2 linked regions of the Drosophila melanogaster genome follow. Changing the gene in region 1 together with any one later gene gives a genetic interaction. Each region holds a gene or a part of one and is shown on either strand. Other genes may lie near its edges.

Region 1 (4,858 bases):
CAATCCCAAGGTTATATTCAATCTGCGCAAGAATAGTCCCAAGGATCATCTGCTGCCCGATGGCCTGACCATCGATACCGAGGGCAACCTGTATGTGGCCACCTTCAATGGCGCCACCATCTACAAGGTTAATCCCAAGTGAGTAGTTCACTCTAACATTCGTGATCGAGTGTTAAATGTCGTACTTCATTGCAGCACTGGCAAGATTCTGCTTGAGATCAAGTTCCCAACCAAACAGATTACCTCCGCCGCCTTCGGTGGCCCCAACTTGGACATCCTGTACGTGACCACTGCCGCCAAGTTCGATCAGCCCGCTCCAGCTGGCACCACCTACAAGGTGACCGGACTGAACGCCACCGGCTATCCCGGCGTCAACCTGAAGGTCTAGGAGCTGCAATCTCTATCTATCCTTAGCCGCAGTAAAATGTACCAATCGAATCCAAGTGCAATTATATGTTATGCTCTTTAACGTTTTAAATCGCGTCTATCAATGTTTTGCATGCTAGTTAGGTTATCCTTTTTTGCAGTTCTAGTTCAAGGTCAGCTTAAGGATCACATTCTCTCCTGGGAATATCCAGGATCATCATGTAAACTCACAAAGAGGTTGACTATGCTCTACTTTACTCTGATTTCAAACAACAATCTTATCAGCCGCAGACACACGGTAATCATCCGCGGATCTTATGGTCATTTGGAGGACGCAGTGCTCTTATGCTTCTTTATTAATCAGTGGTTCTATAAACAATTTTATACTTATCGTCTAGTCTAAAATTAAAGATAGCAAGGTGGCGTAAAAAATCAGTCGATGTTTTGGTGAATGGAGATCATCCACTCAATTTCGGTGTAGATAAACATCTGCATGACCGTCTATTCATCAGACTCCGATTCCGATTCGGACTCTTCTTCATCGTCATCATCGTCGTCGTCATCGTCGTCGTCGCTGCCGGCGGAGCGATTTAGCCGCAGCATCTCCTGGAACTGGTGTACACGGATCTTTTGCGGCACGATCTGCAGCAGAAACTCCAGATTCTTGTTCTTATTGACCACCTGGGAGAGATGCTCGTACTTGAGCGCTTCGCCCGGTCGCTGGCCGAATTCCTCCGTGTATGCCGCGCCCGCCAAATGGCGAACGAATAGCTCCGTGCACTTGGTCATCAGGAAGAGCACCTCGTTGGTGATCAAGCCCGTGTCCATGGAGCTCTTCATGATCGTTCGCACGCGGCTGAGGGGCAGAAAGGTTTCCGCGGTCGGTGGACGCTCCACGGGTGGTTGGCTCCTTGGTTCGCCCATTTGTTTACTTAATTCCCAAGCAAACTATGGCTTGGGAATTTTTTTGGTTTTAGAGCTGGGCTCACAAGTGGAGCTGTGAAACTATCGATGTTACAATCGAGGCATGAAATTCGTACCTTTCTGAGACACTATCGATTCTTTTTTTTTATTTGCTATCGATGGTTATGGTTTATGAAGACTTAAAATAAGTAACCGCAGGGCTTCCCTTAAAACGAACAATGCTGGCATACTTCTATTTTTGCAAGGAATTGGATGTGCACAATAATATATGTGTTACTTTCTCAGAATTAAGTTATAGCGCTAAATATATAAAAATTGAGAAACCCATTCGGATTTGCCTATACTTTCAGCTCTAGCTGGAGCGGGAATTTAACCAAATAACGTTGCGCCGATATGCTATCGGTAGCCACAACAAGTATTTAATAAAAGTTTTCCAAATATTTCAATTTATTAGTGGAAAAACCGCTCTAAGCAAATACCTTTAACTTAATCAAGAGATTAGGGGTAAAACGATTAGGATCTGCACGATTTATAAGGAAACATTCAATTGCAACAACATTTAGACAAGTCAATATTATCTACTTTTGTCTTTTCAGTATGCAATCAACTTTGGATTTTCACACTTATAGCTTAAAAATCTGTCTTCATTTTCGAACTCACATATAAATAAATATCAATAAATTATTATTGCACTTGATTTGTTTGCAGCAACGTTGCCAGACTTCCGTAATCGATGACTATCGAACCTATCGCTGCGCGGCATGTGCAACACTGCGTTTTCTGCTGCCCCCTTTTGGCTGTTGTTTCGTGTGTTGACCAATAAATTTTTCGCGTACTTTTCCAACTTTTCAATTACCGAACCGCAATTGCCGCCAAAATAGATAGCCGATAGCTAGTCGAGCGAGTAACCAGCGAGTTTTTGGCCAATTCACGCGACGATCAGGGGCAGTGGAAGCAGGAGCAGGATCTCGACCAGATCGCCAGGAAGCGACATTTCCATTAGAGCGGTTCAAGTGAAAGCGAGTGAGCTGCACGGCACGAGAGAACGAGACAGACAGACGGCGAGAGTGAGAGCGAGCGAGAGAGCTAGTTAAATCCTTTCGAGAATTCCAGGAATTCAAGCATCCAAAACAGCTGCTGCTGCCGCAAAATCATCAACATCATCACCATCGCTGTTTGTGAAACGTTGTTCAAGCAACGGCGTGCCAACAAACCAGTATCGACATTTAGATCTAGATTCGAATCCCCTATCCACATAGCTTGTGGGTGCACTTTTCCAGTTGGCCAATCTCAACCAGCAATTAAAAATGGCCGCTGCCGCTGCGAGCGCAGTGAATGCAGTGAACGACTGCTTCAGCATCGGATCCACAGTCGTCTGTACGACCTGTTTCAACGAGGAGGTGGAGGGCGAGGTGCTGGCCTTCGATCACAACACAAAGATGCTTATCCTGAGTATCCTTTTGCAACGAAATCCCCGAAATGCATACCCACACACACACACAACTTGCCCGCCGGGTGAAAGCGAGCACTTTCTCCGGCTGTCCACAGGGATCTCTTGAGCTGTCTGGACAAAAAGTCACACTGTCCTTTAGATTCGTATATAATTCTAATTCACACTCATCTTAACTGATAGCATTCACATATCACCTATCTCTTATCAAACCCATTGTTTACTGCTTGACAATTTGGTTCTCCGTACATCGTATATCTTTGCCCCCCGTTCCTGCTCTTCTCTTCCCTTTCCAACCGCATAGAATGCCGATCCAAGTCCACGGAGGAGCTGAGTGATATCTACGCGATGAACCTCTCGCTCTGCAGCAACGTGCAGGTGATCAAGGAGTGCAACGGCAACTTTGATGATCCGCAAAAGCTTAATCTGGAACAGGTAAGCATGCCAGCTCTGACCACTTACATAAATATATATATATATATATATATATTGCTTATACAGGTCAAAATGCGTCTGAGGAAAACAGTTGAGCGAAGACAGGACTACTTGAAGTCTAAGAATGCTGATGTCAGTCCAGAGGCGCAGGAACTCTATAGAGCGATAGCCAAACAATACGGGGTAATGACCTCTTGCACGATGCCCTATCATCATTAACCATTGCTATTTCTTTTACTATTTTGTAGTACAATGAAGTCTCCTGGCAAGGACTTAACATACAGATCCTAAATGAAGTCACCATCTCGCCGCCGTACCGAGTGGACAACGTGGTGTCCAGCTCGAACAACGAAACTTCATGCAACTACATCAAGCGCATCGTAAGCAATTGCCCAACCGCAGCACCTTCAAGCAAACTGTCATAAATCCGAAATGAAGTTCGTTAAATCTTTAATCAGACTAGCAAACCATTGTAACTTAAACCCAACGCAATGGCTCAAACAACGATTTAGTTGAATTAATGTTCAGAACATTCTAGATTCGCTAATGTTTATAGGTTATTCATATGTCAAGATAGTCCTAAATATTTCAAGTACTTCCCAATGTGGTTTAGGGTTTGATTAGAAACAGTATTAAGCATTTTATCATTCTGATATAAACATACAAATGCGCAAAGTTGCGGTAAAAAAAAATAATGCTTTATGACAGAATTGTGGCTGGTGTGGTCGGTGTTTTTAAGTTCATAGGTTAATCTTTACTCCATCTTTTATCTGCAGATCAAACAGTTCTTCAACACGAGGCCATCGCCCGTCCCGGAAAGCGGAGCTGCGGCCAGCACCTCGTCACCATCGGTGTCTCCCACGTCCTCATCTCTTGCATCTGGATCGCCGGTTCCCGCAAACTAATAATAAGCAGAAAAAAAACACAAACAAAACAAAACAAAAAAACAGAAATGTGCTTCAAAAAAGAACAACGTATTGGTTTTTTAATCTCTCGGGTGGGCGCATAAAGTTAACACTTTGATGGGTATTCGAAAAACGATTCTGAAAAAACTATCAGTTTTTGTGGCTTTTATGGTACTTTGAATTCAGGACCCACAATTTCTCATCTCGACTTAAGGTTGTGAAAAGTTAAATCATTTTTTTCTAATTATTAGATAATTCAATTACACAATTTCAATTAGATATTAGATATTTGCATTTAAATACATTTAAAATTTTAATAAAACTTCTTTTAAAAATGGATGCCCATGTAGCATTAACATTTGGCTATAAACAAGCTAGCAGACATCACTGTCCGATAACCGATAGCCCGATTGTTATGTATGGCTTGTGGTGGTCAGCTGCAAGAGCCGCGCCGCGTTTTTAACAAATTTAGCGAATAAGCAATAAATAACAGACAATGGCCATGGAAGACGTGCAGAAGCACAGCGTGCACACGCTGATATTCCGCTCCCTGAAGCGCACCCACGATCTGTTCGTCTCCAACCAGGGAAATCTGCCCGAAATCGACGAACGTTTGTGAGTATACCTGTAGTTTGCAACTTACGCATTGTTAATTTGTGTTTTTCGTTAAACAGAGAGAAGTTGCGACGTTCCATCAAGGCGAAGGATGGCTATGGCCTTGTGCTGGACAAGGTGGCGAAGATCGGCGAGGCCAGGAAGGCATCAGGAGCCCAAACGC
Region 2 (4,953 bases), 7.9 Mb from region 1:
AAGAGAAACGGATCGGTATCATAGTAGAGTGTCTTGTGGTCGAGAAAGAGTTTGGCAAGCAGGCACAAGTTCTGGGCATACACCTTGTTTTTGCGTCCATCGATTTCAAAGAAGGAAATTGTATGTTTGCGATAGATCTCGTTTCCCGGTGGATGCCTAAGATTGCACTTGGACAGGTGCCTCTCCAGGCACTTCCTGCTCTTCCTGTACTTCAGGCAGAACTCGCAGATGTAGATGCAGGGCATTTGACACAGCTCTTGCGGATAGGGTGAGAAATACCAGGGCTTAATGCGATGCCTGCCCAGCTCGATCATCTCCACGTTCTTCATGCGGGTGACCACGTCGTCCTGGTGCGTAACCATGCTGCCTGATTGCCTCGGCGTGGGCGTCTTGCCATCCTGCGATCCATCACCATCATCATTGGCCGCTCCGCTTATTAAACCGTCGCCGGTCACATGCACGGGCGTAGCCGTGGGTGTCTGCGGAGTTGTAGGATGCGGATGTGACTGCTGCTGTTGACTGGTCAGACTGTGGTGTCCATGGGCCGAGCCTCCGTGGTTTTTTCGCTTGCGATTGATGCGTTTCTGAAGGGCTGCGGCCAGATTGTTGCCATTCACAAGCTCTCCCCCACTGCTTGGTGTTCCGGGTGGAGCCACAGAGTTTGGAATGCCAGCAGGGGGAGGAACACTGCCTGATGCACCAGTAGGAGTCTGGGGGATGGCTGCCAGAGCCCCGGAACCAGGGTGTTGCGGTGATGTAGGCCGAGAAACGCTGCCCGCTAGGGAATGGTGGCGCTGTGGCGTGGTCACTCCAGTGCTGGTGCCTGTTTGTGAGCCGTCTCTCCGCGGAAATTGCACCTTTCGCGTGTACAGATCCTCCTCGTTGACCCACTCGTCCAAGCGCTTGTTGACTGCGGATTGGCAGTTATACTAAATATGCTCCCACTGGACGACTTGGTACTCACAGTCCACATAGTGCACGTAAAACTGCCGGCGCCCATCCAACTCCTTGATGCTCACAATCTCCGCTAGTGGCCAGTCGTCCGTTTTGTGCATCCTGACGGGTAAACGACATCCCTCGGTTAGGGCGGCCTGCAAGTTTGCGGTTAAAACCATTAGAATGAACACCCAAAACACGCCAAGGCGTAGCGGAACCCACCGTTGACTCGCATATGGAGGCCACATCGTCGTCGAACTCATATTTGTGGTTAATTTTCATTTGTTTATATTTTACGCGTTTTTTTTTTCCTAAAACAGCAGTATTGCCAGATAGCGAAACGTAAATAACTATCGACCAATCGATTACCGCCACAGTGAATCAGCGGTTTAAAAATGTTGATGACATGGGCAGTGCTGCGCAGCGTCGCGTCGCCTTTTCAAAGTGCTGCACAACACAACAACAATTCCAGAGAGTTTTTCAATTCGGGTTCGGTATTTTTTCTCATGTGCCTACTGTGCAATTAAACAATTTCGCCCGCTTACAAACAACTGTAACATATTAAGCACAACCGTTCGACTCAATTGCAGTTGCTAGAACTTGAGTGCGCAGTTATGTGCTCCCTTCTTTTCAGTTGCCAAACCAAAAAATAAAAACGCTGAGAAGGTCAGAGAAATGTACACAGGCGTAAATTTGTGTGCGTGTGTGTGGGTGCGTACATTCGTGTGCGCTCGTGTGAGTGCGCAGAAAGTTATACAGCTGTCATCGACTGGCGTATTTATCAATAAATGACTACTGTGATCCGCGGAAAACTTCAGTTACTGGGTAATTGTGACCACAACTGCTGGGCAACTGTGCCGCAGTGCCCCAATGCTGACGAGCTGAGCGGGAAATTGGTGAAAAAGCTGTGTCAAAATGACGTGTTTTGCGATAGTGTTGCCACTGACAACAGCCGCAGGGCTGCCAACTCGATGGGCATATCCCACTAATTAGTTGCAAAACGGGCAGGCAATCTCGTGTTGATTAGTAAGATGCAAGCCTAGAGCAAACGCCGATTTAGCAATCTCAACGGCTTGCCCCTACAAACAACAAACAGCATTTGTCAACCCTGGCACGCAGCGTAGTTAGCAACACTGCTTTTTAGCCAAAAAAAAAAAAAAATAAAAAAAATGAATATGGAAAGAGACCAGTGCTTTTTAAAGAAATTCGAAGTCAGTGGGCCGCAAGGGGTCGCCAAAGACTAAACAGACGCACCTGCTACCACCCACCGCCCCTTGTCGCTCGTCCGCATGACCAGAACAACAACAAATGCTGCAAAACACCCAGTCAGTGGTCCAATGTCTCAGTTTCAGTTTTAGTCTCAACTTCATCCCCATTTCCCAATCAATTGCAGATCCGTGCGCACACATTTCCGTATTCCGGTCTGTTTGCGAGCAATCCGCATCCCCGTGCCCAGGAACCTACGTAAATGCCGCGAGCAAAGGTTTGAGCCGGAGGAGAGCTACTGACGACAGGCCTGTCAAGTGCAGCAGGAGTCCAAACTGATGCGCAATAGGTGGGCTCCCCTGTGCCTCAAACCGTCTGGAAGTCGAGAGGAATCGTTAGGAATCGGCGGAACAGCCTGCAGAGCACTTGCAGTCGCGGTGGCAACCACACGGCGGCTGGGCAGCTGGGCTACCTAGAAACATCGCGAAGAGAAGAAACAGTTTGTAAGCAGTTAATGGGAATGCGAGATATACCCGTTTACTAAAACAAACATTCCCCTCTTCTCACACGCCCTAACAGATTCGAGGAATTCGAATGGCATTTGTTTTTCTCCTTCGTTGCATGCCACCAAACGAAAGAAGATGAACAATGAACAAACGCCGTCATCATCGGACACACCGGCGGATCGTGTGGCATCTGGTGGAGCAGCTGCCAAACTGCCAACGATCATACCGGACACGCCCATCGTCTCGATTGCCGCTGGCACGATGAGCGAGAGCACCACGACGACCACCGTCACCAAAACAACGCCGACGCCGTTCCCACAGGAGCAGCTTATGACCATGATGTCAGACCATGTGGCGAAGGCAGACGCGCAGCTTGACGAGGCCTGTAGGAACCAGGGGGCCAAAGACGAGGACAGCCAAGGAGCGGCACCAGTGGCTGCCAACCATGTAGCCACCAGCGGCAGTAGCAGCAGAGGCAATGACCCCAAGAAGTCATCATCCCCTAGTAATAGCCATAGCTCTGGTAACCACGCAGCCACGGCAGACGCTGCCAAAGGATCCGCAGCAGAAGCAGCAGCAGGAGATACGTCCTTCTCGCAGGTCTTTGCCATGCTAAAGGATTCGCCCAGCGCTGAACTGTCGCGACCAAACCGCAGGGTACTCCAGTACGGAGCCACTGCCAAGGGCAAGACCCAGGACGATCAGAATGTCGGCAAGCGACAGAAGAAGAAAAAGGTAAGTGCGCTCTGGCTGAGTTGCATCTTAAGGTGGAAATATAGTGCATGTTAAGCAGAAACCGAGTTAAGATATTGTTTTATTAAGAAAAAGGTATAGTTATGTTTGTTACTCGCAAAATTTCACATTTGTGTACGTTCTGGAGGCTCCAAAGCTCTATGGTGTTTGGACTCCATATCTTATGCATGGCCAGGCTTGAATAGAGCTCTACCAGGGCGACTAAGTTGAGAAACAACTAAGTAAACGTAAAATTTGAAACTAATTTCGATTTTGGGTGGAATTCCAGTATTGGACAGCAAGTTGTCCGATCTTTACGTTACCACCAAAACCAAGGTATACATAAATTAGATATAAATATTGTTTATTTGCACACTAAGCTATAAACTAAAATAGATTCTTACGCTTGCGGTCCATTAAAGTTGTCGAAAATGAAAATGCCGAAATCCCCTTAAAACATGACCTTTGGAAAAAACTTTAAGTGAGCCGATTACTCACTCACAAACACTGTTTTATCGAAAACCGAATTTTATTAAAAAAAAAATAAATATTGACAGTCAAATTGCATCCCCCTAATGAATACATACTCACATACATACATATATGTATGCGAATAGAAGCCAAAGTACCGTTTACGAAGTTAATGGCAAAGAATTCGAAAATGATGTAGAAATAGACCAAGCATACTGTTATCTCGTTCTGACTGACTGGGATTGTGGCTTTCGAAATAGTGCCGTTACATTTGGTCCCATCAAGTAATCGCCACACAGGAACTTCAATTTCTGATCGCAGTCGGTTTTTTGACCAGCGCCTTCGATAATTATTGAAATCAAGACCCCGAATCGGGCAGAAGGAACGGATAAAACCGCAAAGCGTTTGTTTATCTTATAAAAGCATTGGTGACATCCGCGGCATTAACCACGAAAACTTCTCGCCTATTCCCGTTATTATTTCAGTTATTGTTTTTTTTTTTTTTTTCTGTTTTCTTGTGTTCGTGTGCAACACCATATAGTACACATGTGTGTGCGTATGTAGAGCGTTTACTTACTGGAACCGTGTGCCATTTAATACTTCTATTGCTCTGCGGTCGGTACTTCATCAGTTCGCATAAGGAACTCAGAAGGGCATGTGTTTGGAATAAGTGGAGCTCCGAATTCTTTTGTTTTTTTTTTTTTAGGTTAAGTCGCAGCGATTATTGTTTTACACGCATATGTGTTCGTGTTGATGACCCGAAAAATTGCAAAACTAATTGCCAAATATTGTTCTTCGACGCTTTTGCAGACAAAATACGATACCTGGGAAGATAGCGATTTTAATGATCTGGACGACGCATCATTGAAGAAACTTCTCGAAGAGGCCTACTGGTATCGAAATCCTGGCGACAGGAAGAACAAGAGCGAGCGATTTCTGGTAAGTTTTGGCTCATGTATGTGCAACATATATATGTGTGTATAAATATTTCTGCTTCACGTCTTTTACGCCTGCAGCAAATGCTCAAAAAGGCTGAGTACGACGAAGAGATCTCTTATCGTGCCATCAAATCCTGCCTCACAATCAACCCATCCGCACTAAC

What was found.
Region 2: of Lsm12a (region 1) and tyf, changing one enhances a phenotype caused by changing the other (phenotypic enhancement), as found in Drosophila melanogaster (one study listed by BioGRID).

What each region holds. Positions count from the first base shown.
Region 1 is NC_004354.4:12,016,584-12,021,441, forward strand, and holds Lsm12a (LSM12 homolog a), read left to right. Parts: upstream 1-2,056; 5' UTR 2,057-2,597; coding exon 2,598-2,742; intron 2,743-3,044; coding exon 3,045-3,175; intron 3,176-3,241; coding exon 3,242-3,358; intron 3,359-3,423; coding exon 3,424-3,555; intron 3,556-3,951; coding exon 3,952-4,080; 3' UTR 4,081-4,136; downstream 4,137-4,858. Other genes in the region: regucalcin, read left to right, coding at 1-138, 196-388; Chrac-16 (chromatin accessibility complex 16kD protein), read right to left, coding at 868-1,290; Tango4 (transport and golgi organization 4), read left to right, coding at 4,577-4,695, 4,755-4,858. UniProt on the Drosophila melanogaster protein: Component of the Atx2-tyf activator complex which functions in the circadian pacemaker neurons to activate the TYF-dependent translation of per and maintain 24 hour periodicity in circadian behaviors.
Region 2 is NC_004354.4:4,115,635-4,120,587, forward strand, and holds the start of tyf (twenty-four), read left to right. Parts: upstream 1-1,915; 5' UTR 1,916-2,261; intron 2,262-2,329; 5' UTR 2,330-2,645; intron 2,646-2,721; 5' UTR 2,722-2,783; coding exon 2,784-3,383; intron 3,384-4,079; exon of another isoform or gene 4,080-4,661; coding exon 4,662-4,790; exon of another isoform or gene 4,791-4,806; intron 4,807-4,867; coding exon 4,868-4,953. Other genes in the region: Tip60 (Tat interactive protein 60kDa), read right to left, coding at 1-910, 965-1,091, 1,159-1,218.